2 linked regions of the Lonchura striata genome follow. The protein of the gene in region 2 purifies or fractionates together with the protein of the main gene of each other region. This does not show direct contact. Links are inferred from orthologs where the notes say so. Each region holds a gene or a part of one and is shown on either strand. Other genes may lie near its edges.

Region 1 (8,325 bases), on a different chromosome or scaffold from region 2:
GACGTTTGAGCTTTCCATGGATATTTTGATTAAAGTTAAAGCAAGTAATGTTGCAGGAGTACTATAAGTAATTAAGAGCATTGGAGAGCTCCTCAAGGTGCTGAGGACAGAAGGCCTCTAATGTGTGAGAGTTCCATGTAGTCTTGGAGATAATTCTGAAAACTCTTGTAACTGATCTTATTTTTACTTGAAGAGTTAAGCAAGTGCATCTGCCGTTGTCTTCATTTTTTTGTGCTCACCCCTGTAGGGAGGGTAGTGCTGGATCTTTCAGGGAGTAAACCACTCAGTATTTTTAGGTGCATTAGATCCACAGAAACCTGTCCATATTTAATGAAGTATCAAAACTTTTTTCACTGTGGCACTTTTACATCATGTGTCTTACAGCATTCTAAAATCATTTGTGTGCCTGTGAACTATAAATGTAACCCCTCTCTTCATTTTGTCTCATTCAGTCTTTTGCACTTTGCATATTTAATTCTTTTTCCCAGTTGTCTTTGTGGCATTATGTGTTCTCCATTTTCTTTGACAATTAGCAGTAACCTGGATGTTTTTGTTAGGATTTCCTTTTGGATGTAGAGGAACACTTCTCCAAGGTATTAGCACTGCCTCTGGTCTCTTTCCAGACCTACAAGAATATACTCAGCTCGCTATACAGAAGACAGCTGGAACAGAATATTTGGATAATAATTTGTAGTTCACTGATTAGTCCTTGCTTTAAAAGTTGTGTTTGAATGTATTGCTCCATTGCACTAAAAAGAAAGACTAAAGGTTTTTTCCCCTCACTTAGCAAGCCCATGGCAGCAGCAGCAGCATGAGCTTGTCCACACTCCTCTGGAAGGGTATTGCACTCTTCTGCAGGAGCCATCCCCTGTGTGAGAGAAAGCACTTCTCTGTAGCCTTCTTAACTTTCGCAATAGCCAAAATGAAGGGCAGTTCTCATTATTTTCCTTCCTCAAACTATGTGAAGAATTTTAATAGGAAAGTTACTAAGATTTGTTTTATATAGACCACTGCAAGTGAAATTAAAATTATTGCAGGGATAGGAACCGAGTGTTCTAAAGTAAAAATACTTCTCGAAATTTTCATTTTACAAAATTAAAAAAAAAATTCTGTATTACATTTTTCCAACTAATTATATAAGTGTTAGTAAGAATTACATGCCCTGCATTTAAAAAACAACTGAACAAATTCACTATTCTATATTGGATTTTCCAAAAGAGAAAACTGAGCCACTTTTCTGTTTCATTCTTTTTTTTTTTTCCCACTGCATTGTAATTTGTTAATTTTCTATCACAGCTTGGTTCCAGATCACTTTGCTGAAAGCTCTATTTTTGGTGTACTGGATTAGATGACTGTGGACAAGATGAACTGCACTAAACTCGAGCAACATCAGCAGCTGATGGCACTGTGTTGCCTAACACCTTCAGAAGTTTCTGCACTTGTGCTGAGTTGCCATAGCAATATCTGCCCACTGGTGGTGGACTTGCTTCAGAAGTTGCAATAAAAACTTCTGTCATACTAACATAATGACAGATACATTTGCCCACAGCTACACCAAGAAACTGGAAATTATTTTTGTCAGAAAAGTAAATGAAGCTTCATTGTGCTTCAGATCACAGGTATGTGTCTGTTTTGGGAAGGCCAACATTCTGCTGGTTTAGTCACTAAATATAGCCACATAAGTACATGAGAGGGGCCAGAATATTTCAATATTTGACACAACACGAGGATCAATTACTTGGCTAATGAGCACTCCCCAGGGAGAGAACCAGTTTTAATACTGTGTTTCTGCAACACCTCTCCTTTTGCCTCTTTTTGTTACAAAAGCATACTTTATTTCATTTCTTCCACTTGCTGCAAATATTTTTGATATCAACTCATTCTCATTCTTAAGCAGTTCAGATATTTGGAGATGATAAAGGAAAGAGAATGCTTGTGGATATGATTAAAAATTATCTTTTTCTTAGTTTTAAAATGTCTCTGAGTTCTGAATACTCATGAGTCCTTTACTTCTTCAGAGTCTTTCAGATACTTTACATGCTGAGTTGCAAGGCTAAGATTTTTCAGACCAGGTAGCAACTTTAACCCAGCAATAATTATTAGCCCATCTGTTTTGCTTCACTGGCCTATTGAGACAGGCAGAAAAAAAATCCAAATCACTGTTTAAGCAAAAGATGCTGGAGCCTTTACTTTGGATGCATGTTTCCAGATTTGTTTGGTTTAACTCGATAGATAAAGAGCTCTGTTTCCCCTCTGGTATTTGGTTTATCTGTTTAGCTTTCCTGGATTAAAATTCAATTTTAGTCAAATACTTGGATGAAATGATGCTTTAATTTGGTCTCCCTGACAGAGATTTTTCTTCCCTGAAGCAGCAACTGATTGTTTTTCTCAGTATGCTCTGTAAGTATCAGCACTAAGTGCTAACTGACCCGTGTTTCTCTCTTGAACCACAGTATTAAAATCTCCATTTAGAAAATATCATGTAGTCCAATTCCACTCTGCCTTAATTGCCCATAATTAAATGTGATCAGAGTGGGACCCTGTTTAAACAGACACAGCTTGGAATATTAACTGCTCTCTGATGATGTGTTTGCTTAGCAGTTTGCAGGCTATCATTCTGATTAATAAAAAATCTACTGTATCTATGGAAACTAAGTGTGGAAAATAGCTTTTACATCTGAGGAATGTTCAAGGAAAATTATTAGGTGGCCTTAAAAATGATAGCAGCTGTCTTCAGAGCAAAACTCAGGGCATTGCTGGTATAGAAAGGAATGTAGCAATGTGTGACATATAGGATCCTAAGATTTTAACTGCATTCCAGTCAAATATTATTTTAGCAAATTATATTTATGCAAATCATTGCATCTGTTTTGTTTTTTCTTGGTGCTTTTGTGACTTTCCATATCTTAACTGAGATGTCTCAAGAGATGATTTAAATAATATTCATTATTAATTCATTGCCTCTAGATTAACTCTGAAAGAAATTACAGTTTCAACATGAGGATAATAAACAGTATTTGCACCAAATTTTCCAATGCTTTTTTTCTTTTGGAGAGCCTTTACATGGAATTGTCTTCTAGCCTGGCTTCTTACTGTAGAATTAAGGAACCATGAATGTATTGTCTCTCTCTTTCCCATTTTATTTTTCCAGCAAAAGGTGTTGGCCAACAAATGACAATTGTAGGAGTTCTTATGGCATTAAAAAATCTATTTTTGAAGAGGTCTTTTTCTCTCAGCTTCTTGACTCCTAGAAGTTACTTGATGTGCTCAAAGTATTGGTAGGTCTTGCACGTTTGTCACAGCAAACACAGGAAACCTCTGCACTCTTTTAATGGCAAATAAAAATGGGTGACTGAGTTTCTGAGTTTACTCACCTCTGATCCTGCAGAGGGACACAGAAGTCATAATCTTCCTTGGCTATCAGGCTTCCATTCGTGTTATGAATGTGTCTTGGAGAACATGAACTTGATCCCATTTGGGTGAAGGCAAAATAAGATTTGCCCCAGGAACACACACTGCTTTCCAGCCACTAAATGGTGGTTGATCCAAGGGATGAGGTCAGTGCTCCTCTGGAGTAAATCCCTCTGACACACATGGAGAGGAAACACTGCCCTCAGCTCTGTAGACTTACTCCTATTGCAATCCATTGTGAAATTAACTGAGCTGGGAGTTGACTGGAATAAAAATCCATGTTTCCCAGGAGAATAACTCTGAACAGGGCACTTTTCCTGGAAAAAATGAAAGATTCTGAGGCATAAAGTGGATAGTGAGAACATTTTTTTAACAAGTTGCTGTGAATTATGAAAATGGCAGAATATTCAAATTTTCTAGTAATATATTAATATAACATTTGATATTTCATGTCCTTTATTTTATGCTGTTTCTAATGTGGAGTTAGGCCAAAGACCTTGCCTGGTGGTTTGATGAAACAAAATACTTAAATTGTAAGACAAAAACTCACCTAATTTTCTTACCTTGGTCTGCATTAAGCAGGATACAGATCTGAAATTCTGTGTCCACCACAGTTTCCAAAGGTTTTGGATAAAAACAATACAATGGAGCTTTTTAGAATGTGCACTTCATGGCATAGCTGTCCCAGCCATATCTGGCAGTCTTGGGTGATATTAAATATCAAAAGGAGGAAAGGTTTATTTAGGCAGAGGTGAGAGGGAGCCCAAAGCACAGTAGATAAGTCTTGGTAATGAGAGCAGAAGGGAACAGTTTTTCAATGGTTTTGGAGTTTGGTTTTTTTTGTTGTTTTTTTTTTTTTTTTTTTTTTCCAATAAAATACTGTTTTTCAGGGGCCAGTAAAAGCATTTGAGTATGATGCAAGCTGTAATGAGGTGCAAGAACAGTGCAATAGCAGAACCCCTCCTGGTGCTCCTGGTGAATTCTACCTTTGCTGATGGCAGGAGAGGCTGCAGGAGCTCTGCTGCAACTGTTTCCCTTTTAGACTCAAACAACTTGATTTTCATGCTTGCTCTGCTTCAGGGGAAAAGAAACCTCTTGAAGTAAAATACCTCTTGTGAGAGTTAACCTTGGGAGCTTTTGCTTGGATCCATCTTGTAAACAGAATCTGAATGTTTACACAGAGTTTTGTGGTCCTTAATTTGACCTGGCCTAGACCCCCTTGTAATTGCAGTGGATCAGTTAGTGGGGAACAAAAAGTGGATGAAAAGCAGGAATAAAAAGAAAATGTGATGTAACACAGAAAACTAAAACAGGCATACAAAAATAAACATTTAAGGTATGTCTCAAGATATATTTGAGGTGCATAATATTTAAAGATATAATGTAATATAATTGCAACATTAGTTGTCAAAGTATAAATGCCTGAACTTTTGAATGTTTTGATATTTTTAGAGGCCCATGTAGGGCATAAAACTTGATATTTTAAAACTGTTGTAGTGATGGACTATGAATGTTTGTTTACTTGAAAAGAAACTGAGCTTAGTTAGGGATCAAAGTGTATTGCAATAGTTCTAGCTGTATGTTCACCTTTTCACTTAGGTCAAAAGGACTGTTTACACACATTAAAATATTTGGTCAGTTAAACATTATTTTAGAATTCATGGGCAGCTGAGTTTGGAAAACATTATTGCAGAGGCAGTATAAAGTGATAGAACATCATCTGCAAAAGCCTTTGTAAAGGACTACACAGTGTTTTAACTGGCCATAAGGAGCAAAGTGCTCCTTAGCAGATGGTACAGCAGAGTTTTTCTTGAGAAAGATTTGTTTTGGTTTATTTCTATTCACATCCAGCTATGACAAGAGTTTGCAGGAGTGTTTCCAGATCCCCCATGTGAGTTATACCGTGCGTGCAGCTTGGAAAGTCCAATGTCTGCAAATGTGTCTGGATGTTCCAGACAATGTTGGATTGGGTTTGCTGTGGGATTCTCTTGGATGGACCCAGATTGAATTGCAATGAGTGAGACAGGAACTTGGAAAAACTTGGGACAATCCGAACACAGCATTTCTAGCACTGTAGATTTAAAGAAATCCAGAGAAACCAAGAAACAAACAATCCCCTCTGCATCCCCCCAAAAATTCCTCCCACCCAAGAAACTGAAAAACAGCAACAAAACCCACTCTACATGTTATGCATACCAGATAGCTGCAAAAATGCCTTTTCTGGTTGTTTTGGCATCATGATTTCCCTCTCCCTCTTTAAGCAACTTGCCAAGGAAAGGATAAAAATGTTAAATATTACACCAGCAAACCTATGATGGGACACATGCTTCATCTTCGCATACTGAAGGCATGGGGAGACTGAGTTAGGCAAGGCCTTACAGGCAGTGTATGACAAAAGAAAATCCTTCTCCAGATTCTCAGGTTGGTGTGCTAAGGGTGACACTTAATTCCACTGTGCCTATTACTAAATACATTTCTCTAACAAAATGGCATCACTGGTAACATATAAAAATTAAAAGATTAAGTATTTCAGAAGAATCTTAAAAAATCTCATGATAGGTTAATTGTATTTCTGTAACAATTTGCATTCAGAGACCAGAGTATTACTTAGGTTCTAGGAAAAGTTACGTTCTCAGTATATAAATAAAACCAACTGCAAATAAAATGGTACTTTTTTCTTTTAAATCTAGCTATGACCAACTTACTTTGTATAATATAATATAACATTGTAATATCAATATAATCCTTTCAGAAAAAATGAATCACAGCAATTCCAAGTTTAGGTCTCTATATCAGGGAGTATAAAGGAAAATTTATAAAAAGGTAGTCAGAATATATTCTTAGGATATCACATATATTCAACAAATTATTTCAAAACCTCCTATTTGTATGAATTTGCATCTGAATTAGAACAGTTTATAAATTTACAGTTAGTGTGATACTGAATTTTCACCTACCAAAGCCATTCTTTAAGATACCTTTTCTAAAAAAATGAAAGGCAGTTTGCTCTTCTTAGCTCAACACAGTGTTTCTCCAAGTGTAAGGGCCCCTTGATTAGAACATTCAGTATATTTCTTTTTGTATCCATGTAATTCAGAACAAATTATATCATGTTACATGTAATGTCATTAATAAATCTGTGAAGCTAATAAATCCAGCTTGTGTTTTGGAAAGGAGAACACTGCACTTCTTTCATTAAGCATATTTTTGTCAATGGAAGATAGATACAGAAATATCAGGATGGTTAAAGGGATAAGAGTGGTTAAACTTGTAGTGTTATTTGCGTGGCTGATGTTCATGGAGACAAATGGTTACAAAATCAGTTTTCTTACAAAATCACTTGACTTGAACATTATAGAAAGTTATTAAGAATAAAGAGGGATATTCTTTCGTGTTTTGTCAAGTAGATACATACAGGAATTATTTTAAATTTTTGTCACAGGCTTAACATTAACACTGTTGTCCTTACACCCAGTGAAGTATGCATGGCTTTAGTGGATATGTGAAAGAATAAAAAATCTAAAATTAATAAATTTTCTCATTGTAAACAGTACATTACAATAAAAAATGTACTTAAAAATAATGGGCTTGTGCAGAACATGCCTCTGTGTACAATTTAACAAAAACCAGAAAAATTATATTTTTGAGGATTACAAGTAGTTTTGGGATGATTGAGTGCAAGCAATTTGTAACAGGGGCTTGAGGTCTGTATTTACTGAAGTCAGGAGTTGGATTTGATCATCCTTTTGGGCCCCTTCCAGCTAAGGAACTCATAGGATTCCAAGGGGGCATGTTTCACCAATTTAAATGAGTAGGTGATCATGCAGAGAACAATGCACAATTAGACCTTGGAACATTAGTCCCCATTACATCCATGTCCTTTTAAATGCTACATTTCTGTTTGTGTAATACAGGGAGTGCTCCACAGCTAGAATATACAAGTGACTTTAATATAGGACATATTTTATTATTTGTGCTACCTTGCTTAAGTCAAGTTTTGCTCTCTGCAGCTGTTTATGATTTCAGACTTGATTTCCTTTGTCAGATTGTCTTTCTTGGATAGTATTAAAATGCTGCCAAATTACTTTTGCTGCATTACTTTTGCATAGATACAAAAAAGTCTCTAATGGTTTGTTAGGATGAGAAGTTAATCTTAGCTTTGCTTTGCAGTTAGATTTTTATGGCAGGAGCAGGGTGTTAGTTCAAGTCACATTTCCATGTACTATGTACCAAGAAAATAGCACATGGGTGATTTCTTGCCCCTGACTGTCATTTCTTACAGTATGCATCACTGAGTGGTCAGTTGGCATCATTAGTTTGTTCCCTTTTAAATTGTCAAGTGAGTATTAAATACCTCCTTTCATTAAACCTTAATAGTGTTGTGTTAACTAGTCAGAAGTCACAACTTCAGGGTGCTGGTACTGTTGAATTCCTGTATATCCTTGGCTGGAACTGCTGGAAAGTCTTCTAGGATTTTGGTCTGCATGATCACTGAACTTCCATGCTGTCTTTAAAATAAAAAAGAAGACTTTTGGAATTTTATCCAGTGGAACTTAGTTCTTTTAAAGAAAACACTTTTATTTTAAGACAAAATGAAGAATGTGCCAGCACATTGATTATTAAATAGTCTGCTCTGCAATTAAGTGTGAGCAAATGTTATTCCCATCTGTGGTCTTCACTGAAGACCAAATAAGGGACAACTTATATCTAAGAACATTTTGAATATGATGCATTTGCTGTTGAAAAGGCTGAGTTTATGGAACTTCTGTATTGCACCATTAGTATTTGGAAAACATGGAAAGTGTATTGAATAATGTAAATGAGACTGCAGAGAAGGAAAGGCTGACAACTCTGGAGTAAAATAAGCTTGAATATCAGCGTCCCATTGCTATGCTAGAGTGCATTTCATTTAAT
Region 2 (7,935 bases):
AGAGTCGCCTCAGCAGCTTCACCCCCCAAAGCCACAGCCCTGCAGGCCTGACCCTGCACAACTCCCCAGCCTACGGCTGTTCCTTCAAGCCAACAGCTCTCAGTCCTTCTTTTCCCCTGCACTGTTTGCCAAGGCGGTGACAGTCTCTGAACAAACTCAAAACACTGCAGCAGCAAGAACAAGGTGAACCGGGCTCCAGCCCCAGGAGGAGAACGGTGAGCACCAGAGGTTGTTAAAGGAAGCACCAATTCCCAGGAGGGAATGCTGCCCCTGCTGCACAGCAGCAGCAGCACCCGGGGCTCTTCCCAGGGCTTTTGCAGCAGGAGGCTGGCACCATACAGGGGTTCTTTCTTCCAGCCACCATGCAGCAGGACAAGGTGCTCGAGGGGAGAGCAGGCAGTGCAGCTGCAGGGCTGCACAGAGCACGGCCCCCATGCTGCCCCTGTCCCGGGAATCTCCCTGGATGCTCCTGCAGGGCAGGGTAGCAGCAGCACTTCCCACAGGAAATGCCAGGGCTGGCTGTGCCACACTCTCCATGGCTGGCAATGCTGGCCACATCCTGCCAGGGCTGGGCACACAGGGACAGGGCTCTGGGGACAGCTGGCCTGGCCCCCAAGCACAGGGACCTGCTGCCCTGAATGTGCCCCCAACCTAGCCCACCTGTGGCCTCCAGGATGTGCTGGGCTGGAGAACTGCTCTGCAGAGCCTAGCCTGCACATCCCTGAGCTGTTTGGGTGTTTTTACTTCCTTACCTGCAGTGACTCCTCCTCCTTTATGAGCTCCTTCGGAGGGAACAAGTCCTTGGCCTGGATGTACTCCAAACTGGGAGGGCCCTCCTCACCCTGCATTGCAAACAGAGGACACAGTCAGACAGCCTCGGCCAGAACACGCTGTGAAAGCCAAAAATTGAAGCTGCTGGATACTTTTGGCAGCCCAGGAGCTTGGGGATGGATACCTGTGCATGGAAATGTCTGTTCTGCCTCCAGACCCCAGCAGCTCCTCTGACTGTTGCAGAGTACCCACAGCACAGTGAAATGCTGAAGCCTCCAAGTCCCGCCTCTTCCAGCTGAGTGGTGTTTGGAAAGTCAAGCAGACACACCTTGGCCACAGGGGACTGATGTGACAGTAACTTGTCACGTCAGCTGTTCCCGTTACCTGCTCCATGGCACCAGAGCACACACACCATGACAGAGGGTTTCCATCTACAGTCCAATGTCAGCCTATTCTTCCTCCTCTTAAGGACTGCTTTGTTTTGGGAGTTTTTGTTTTCACTCTCACACCAAAGACATCTGGGAAGACCCTGAATCTTCTGGAGAAGATACAACTGTGAACAACCTACAACCCTACCACAACTGTACCCCAGTGCACATAACTCACAACAGGCACTACTGACTGGTGCCAGCACCAAGCCCAGGGCAGCTGGACATGTTGACCCTGTTCAGATGGACACCTGAGAAAACACACAGAGGCCTCAGGATGGTCACACAGAACCTGTACATGCCATCCTTGACAAGTGGAGTGTATGTCTCCGTTTGGAACACGAGAATCTTCATTATACAATCAGGGTATGAGCTGGAAGGGATAAGGATCATCAAGTCCCACTCCTGGCCCTGCACAGAACACCCCAAATCCCACCATGCGTATCAGAGCATTGTCCCAATGCTCCTTAAGCTCTGGTGTGAACCACTGGTGCCAATTTTCACCAGCTCTCACCCAGGCCCTGTCACATCACTGAATTGCTGCCCAAAGGAGTGGCACTCAGACATTCAGCTGCAGATGCTCACTGCTGGGAGTCCAGGATGGTGCTAATTCCACATGTATTTGGTGTGGGAATGTTTTCTTCAAAACTCTACTTCTAGGCTCTAGCATTTATCAGAAAACACTGTGTTCTGTAAGCACTGAGTAACATTTTAAAATGACATATCTTTCTGGATATGCCACCCAAGCCAGAATCCCAATTCCAACCTGAAGAAAGGAGATCTCAATCCTTCTGGCTCAGGAATATTTCAAATGATGCTGAATCCTCTTGTGTTACTGAGAGGTGCTAAAGCCTCAGCGCCTGAAGGAAGAGCCTGGCCTGAGGTGCTCCCAGAACGTCAGACAGGGGCAGCCAGACCCCTCCCACCCCACATCCAAGGAACCTGCATGCATGTAACATGCTGTTAGAGCCTTCATAAAACTCAGCCTCAGGCGCAGCTGGAGGCAAAGGCACTGCCCCTGTCACCATGCTGTGAGGGACACAGAGCACAGCACCATCTCCAGCAGCAGCCAATGCTCACTGGAGACCACGGGGGCCTTGGGGCCCCTCCTGCCAGTGGCTCACTCCAAGGCTGAGGCACCAGCCCAGAAGAGCACAAAGAGAAGGTGCGTGCCCATGTGCCGGTGCAGCAGCCAGGAAGCAGAGATGCTCTCCCATCCTCACTTTGCAGCTCGCAGAGAAATCCCAGGGAGCAGCAGGAACTGGAACAGAACAGCCTGAGCTCTCCACCCGCCTGGGTGTCCTTGAGTCCCTCCTCGCCTGCAGCACAGGGCAGGCAGAGGCTGAGCATCCCCTCCTGCCACGGCCCCATCCCTGCTACCAGCAGCGTGGGGGTCAGCACGCTGCTCTCTCCACAAGCCTCCTGAAGCCCTCGGAGCCCATCTGGCCAGGAGTGCCCTGGGGGGTTGAGGGTGGGCCTGCAAGAAGGCTCAGAGCAGGAAAACCCCTCTCGCTGAAGGTGAAAAAGGCGCCGAGCACAGGACCCCGCACAGCCCAGCACCGCACCGGAGGGGTCCCACAGGGCCGCGGGCAGTGAGGGGCGGGGGCTCGGGGTCTGGCTGCTCCAGCACGGTAATTCCCAGCTCCAGGCAGGGTGCAGAGCCTGCGGGGCCCAGCCCAGCGGCCAGGGCTCAGCCGGGCACTGCTGTGCCCTTGGGCCCGGCGGGGCAGCAGGGACGGGCCGCGCCGTCCTCCGGCAGCGTGTGAGAGCCAAGAAAGGGGGTCCCCCTTCTCCCCGGGCCGATCCAGAGGATGCCTCCACCGGCATGCGAGTTGGAGACTGCAGCTGGCTTACGGCCCCGCTTCCACGGAGGAGAGAAGGAGAATAAAAAGCAGCACTTACAAAGCAGTTGAGCATGGAGCAGGAGACGCGGCCTGGCAGACTCATGTTCATTTCCCGAGACGGCAGCAGGGCCGGGCAGGCACAAGCAGCATCTCCTCCCTCCGGCTGCGAGCTGCGGCCCCGGCACTGCGGCAGCGTCCCCGCTCCGCCAGGAAGGGCAGGAGCATCCCGGCCGCCGGCAGCCCGAGCAGGTGCCGGCGCCGCCGCCGACAATGGAGGGAGGGCGGGCGGAGGATGGGCAGACTCCACCTCCCTCCCAGGACCGCCGAGCGCCGCTCTGCCATCTGAGCGTCTCGGTGACGGGGAGACAGAAAATGGAGCGGGCGGCGGCCCTGCGGGCACGGCCCGTTCCTCGGCCGGGAGCGGCATTCCCGGCCCGGGGCGCTGCTCCCGCCGGCTCCTGCTCGGGCCGCACCGATGGCGGCGCTGGGAGCGACGGCAACAATAGCGGGGAGGCGGCTGCGTGCCCGGCACCGCGAGCCCTGCACGGAGCCTTCCCCGGAGCCCATTGACCCCACACGAGCACCGAGGCCTCTGCTCCGAGCCCTCCGCCCCGGCATCAAACCCTCTGCCCTGAGCCCTTCATCCCTGTGCTGACCTCTCCACCCCAGCATCAACCCCTTTGCCCTGAGGCCTCTGTCCCCAGCCCCCCACTCCAATGTCCAGCCCCCGGCACCTGCCCTGCTCCAGAAGCTCAGCCAGGATGTGCGACTGCACCCCTGAGCCTTCTGTCTTCCAGCAGTCCTCCGTGCCTGGAGCGGGAGGTGAGGATAAGGGGGCTGTCCTGCTGCATTCACCATGTTGAATAGTGATTCAACAGTCCCAAGATGAAAAGTCCACCTTTCCAGGAGCTTCATGTGCATAGGGACTAGTCAGATGTCCCACCAGCACCTGTGTGCTGGAGCCTGGGCTCTGGAGTGGACCACTCAATGACCACTTGGACGCTTAGCTCCCATGTGAACTTTCCCCAGCTCCCGTTGGAAATACAGACACAGGGTAAGGCCGTGTGCGCAGGAAATGCTGTGGCTGAGCACCCAACCTCCCAACACCAGCCCCCTACAAGCTCACCTTTACTACCTGCTGTTCATCAAGCCCAGGAGCAAACAGCTCCCAGGTCACAGTCTATCTCAGCAACCAGAGAAGCAGCTTCCTGGACAGCCCCATCTTCATTTCTACCATCAGCTGCTATTCTGCCCCCAGCAGAGGGAGAATCTCTGTTAGAATGCAAAATTAAAACCTGACCCTTCATCAGTCCTCAAAGGCCCCACTAAATGGCTCAAATCACATCAGCTTTTTGCTCCCACAACACAAATCCAAACAGAGCACAGCCTGTAGCCATTGAGCTCATCTTAGATGTGTTTGCCCCAAAGACACCACAGACTGCTCTTCCCAGCAATACCAATGGGATCTCAAAGAGCTTTTCTTGAGTCAGATAAAAGTCTTCAGCATTTCTCTGCAAAATTGTTCAAGGTTAGCATATTCAGAGCTGCCTCGACTAAAGGGACAGCTTTGTGATACCCAGACATGCTGCTCACTGTTATTTGCAGGGCAAAATTCAGTTCCATGAGCTCCCTTGCTGGCAAAAGAATCCCCCAGACTCACATGGTTACACCAGTTTCACTACTTAGGATAGAAGACTTAGATGAACACATAGCCACACCTGCAGATAAGCCATGAAATCCCATTTCACCCTTGCTTTGCCCCACTCCACCATTTACATGGAGCACATAGTGGGTGAGTGTCAGGCGTTGCTCATCCTTGGGGCACTTGAACCAGTTGGCACCCACAAACCAGAACACAAAAATATAGGGTTATGGACACAAACAGAGGCTTACACATAAGGACAGAAGGTTATGGATGAGGTTACAGATTTGTCTTGGCCAAAAGTGAGTGGCAGGAGAAGTGTCCTGCTCCCTGCAGGTGACCTTTGCCTGGGTCACTGGAGGGAATGCTGAGAGAAACCAGAGCAGCTAAAGCTGAAGGAACCTTTTATACTGGAGAGAAAGTGTGGCTAGAAACACTAGAAAGCAAATATTTATTGGGTTTTTGACATGTATCAGGGGAAAAGCAACACAGCACATTTGGGAAACAGCTGAAGTCCGGGACTCTCTTGGGCAGACTGAGAGTACACATTGCTGTTAAGAGCACACAGCGCAAGAACAGAGTCTGTAATGAACAAAACCACAGACAAGGTAGGTAAGAGGTTTGCTCCAACCAACAGTAAGATTTTTAGGGCCAAGGCTCAGTTCAGGGCCTGGCACAAGGATTGTTTGCATTGTAACCCCCTTAAGCTGCAGCTGTGCAGAGTTAAAGGACTGCTCTTCAGATCAGTACTCTGAATTTCCAACCTAAGCTGACCTGAATGTTCACAAATAGAACTTCTGCTTTCACTGAAATATTTTTGCACTTTTAGTATCAGAAAAAGACTCACACATTACTTAGAAACTTCTACCCAAGCACTGAGCCTAGTGCAGAGCAGAAACGTTGCTCTGAAGTTCAGTGGCTTCACAGACTTTCAAGAGGAACTTGATACAGACTCTGCTTTCACTTCCTTCATGAGTTCCCAAAATACTTGCCCTCCTTTCCCTCCAGTGACCTGGGCAAAGGCAGGAGTGGTGCTGGGCAGCCCAGCACAGGACTGCAGAGTGCTCCAGACTCCTTAGCTGGCTTAGCCAGAGGGAATTCCTAAATGCCACCTCGGATGCCTCCCCAGCTGGGCTCTCTTCTCCACTGTCACAAATCACAGAGGAAGAGAAGGTTATTTCACACAACTGGGCTCCTCTGAGTGTTCTCAGTGTGTGTGTTCATGTAGTCAGAGAGAGAAATCTCCTTCATCATCTCCCAACCACCGTTACAAGTGTTTCTCAATTCTGAGGAGGAGGAGGCAAATATAATGCGGGCAGCATGTTCTTAAGGGCAGCTGGCAGTGATTTGCCCCTTTTCCCTCCCACCAGCAATGCCCACTGTTCCTGTGCTGCTCCTCCCACCCTTCCTGGATCCACACTGCAGGTAAACAGCTTGCAGCCTTCTCCTGAAGGTCCCAAAAGGGATTTAGAGGCTTGGAGACGATACAGTGCTTGGCAAAGATAGGACTGGCACTCAAGGGGCCAGCCTGCAGCCTCCAAAGGAGATGATATTCCTTATGGAGACACACATACATGCACCAGGAACCCAGCCCATGGCAAAGGGTTCACAGGGAACATCTGGTCCAACTTGCCCAAGGAATCTGCATTGGGAGCACAGGATGGGCATCAGGATGCTGAAATATCTCTTGTGTTCTGGAGCCAGTCAGCATCCTGAAACAAATCATTTTGCCAGTGGCAGGTCCAGCTTTCTGCAAATTTGGGAAAGTGTGAGCCAGGGTGCAGCTAATTCCCACCTGGCCAGGTCCCTTCTAACCCAAACCATTCCATGATTCTAAGAGAAAAACTGGTCCCTTTGATTGTAGAGAGCTGCCAGCACACCTGACTCAGCCTTCCACAGACATGCACACCATTCCCAATCCCAGTGTAGCTTTATGTCTTTTTGGCTAAACACAAATAAAATTGTTCTCTCCTTAGGTAGAAGGCACCACACCCATCCCTTCTATAGATTAAGAGTGAACTTCTCCTCACTCCAGCACAGATGGAGGGGAGTGAAGGCAAGGGCTGGCAGAAATCTGCATGAATACCCTGTCCCTGGTAGCACATCCACTGCACAGACTGGCCTGATCCGCCTCCAGCTGGAGAAAACAGACAGAAAAATTGGCAGGAGGAGGTGACTGCCCTGGAAAGGGAATTCCAGGACATGAGAAATAAGTCAGTGGGAGCCAGGGAAGCTCTGTCTGATAGCCAGGGGCTCCAGCAGTAGAGGGGCCATCAGGATACTCTACTATAGATCCCTCCAGGTTTGAGTATTTCTTTTCAGTGAAGATCAAACTAGGAACTGGTTATCTAGGTCTTGTTTTCCAGGTGAGATGGGGAAGGGAGAGACTTGCATAATTTATCTCATTCTAAAAGTTAAAATTTATTCTATTTCTGCCAGGCAGATTCCTGCATTGGGTGAGATGAGCTGCACTCAGACAGGTATTTCCCTCTCTCTCCATAAGCTGGTGCTGAGACTGATGAGCTGTGGCCAAAGGCACTTCTTGTTCTGCCTCCCCTACTTCTGTTGCACAAAGGGCATCTTTGTTTCAGGTCTCCCTACATAAACAGTTCATTTCCTCAAAGCCTAGGGAGGTTTGTGTGAGAACTGAAAGGGTGCTTAGCCTGAGGTGGAAACGAGCCCTTAAACCTGTGCAAACAGAAGTTACTGTTTTATACCCCATAAATCAGGACTGGGATGGTGGGTGTCATGTTTTAATCTGGATAGGATGATAGAATAATTTAGAGATCTGTAATACTGCATTTGGTATTTGTTCAGAAAGGTGCCCAGAGGTGAGCATGGAACTGAATATGCAGCAAGAAACCTTTGAGGAGAGGCACAAAAGGGCACAAGTCATGGGCTGTCAACTCCATGCACCAGCACGAGGGGTGGCTGCCAATGCCCACCTCAGATAAGTCATGGGCCCCTCCAGAGGGTAAGAACCAGATGCCTACAGTGCCAGTATGCCAGCAGTCAGGAGAGGGAATGCTGCTGTGGGAGCTGAGCACCGAGTGCCAGCACAGCACCTGCACCAACCCACCTGCCAGATTAGTTTTAAGTAATATATTAAGGTACCAAGTGCTCATTAGGGGCTCCATTAGTCAGGATTACCCCAGCACTAGTGCTGCCTTCAAGGTCATTCCCATCAGCAGCTAGTTTTGGGGAAAAGTGGGAAGAGTCATGTAAGCCAAGCTGTTAACACTAGACCATG

The links. The genes of interacting proteins can lie anywhere in the genome.
Region 1: the proteins of MTMR4 (region 2) and DNAJC10 purify together in Homo sapiens (affinity purification with mass spectrometry; 3 studies listed by BioGRID and IntAct, counting the BioPlex papers as one, with this or other methods). This does not show direct contact. The link is inferred for Lonchura striata from reciprocal best matches to the Homo sapiens genes MTMR4 and DNAJC10.

The regions. Positions count from the first base shown.
Region 1 is NC_134610.1:24,460,510-24,468,834, reverse strand, and holds the start of DNAJC10 (dnaJ homolog subfamily C member 10), read right to left. Parts: upstream 3,580-8,325; 5' UTR 3,375-3,579; intron 1-3,374. UniProt on the Homo sapiens protein: Endoplasmic reticulum disulfide reductase involved both in the correct folding of proteins and degradation of misfolded proteins.
Region 2 is NC_134622.1:1,318,268-1,326,202, forward strand, and holds the start of MTMR4 (phosphatidylinositol-3,5-bisphosphate 3-phosphatase MTMR4), read right to left. Parts: upstream 3,338-7,935; 5' UTR 3,153-3,337; coding exon 3,102-3,152; intron 843-3,101; coding exon 753-842; intron 1-752. UniProt on the Homo sapiens protein: Lipid phosphatase that specifically dephosphorylates the D-3 position of phosphatidylinositol 3-phosphate and phosphatidylinositol 3,5-bisphosphate, generating phosphatidylinositol and phosphatidylinositol 5-phosphate.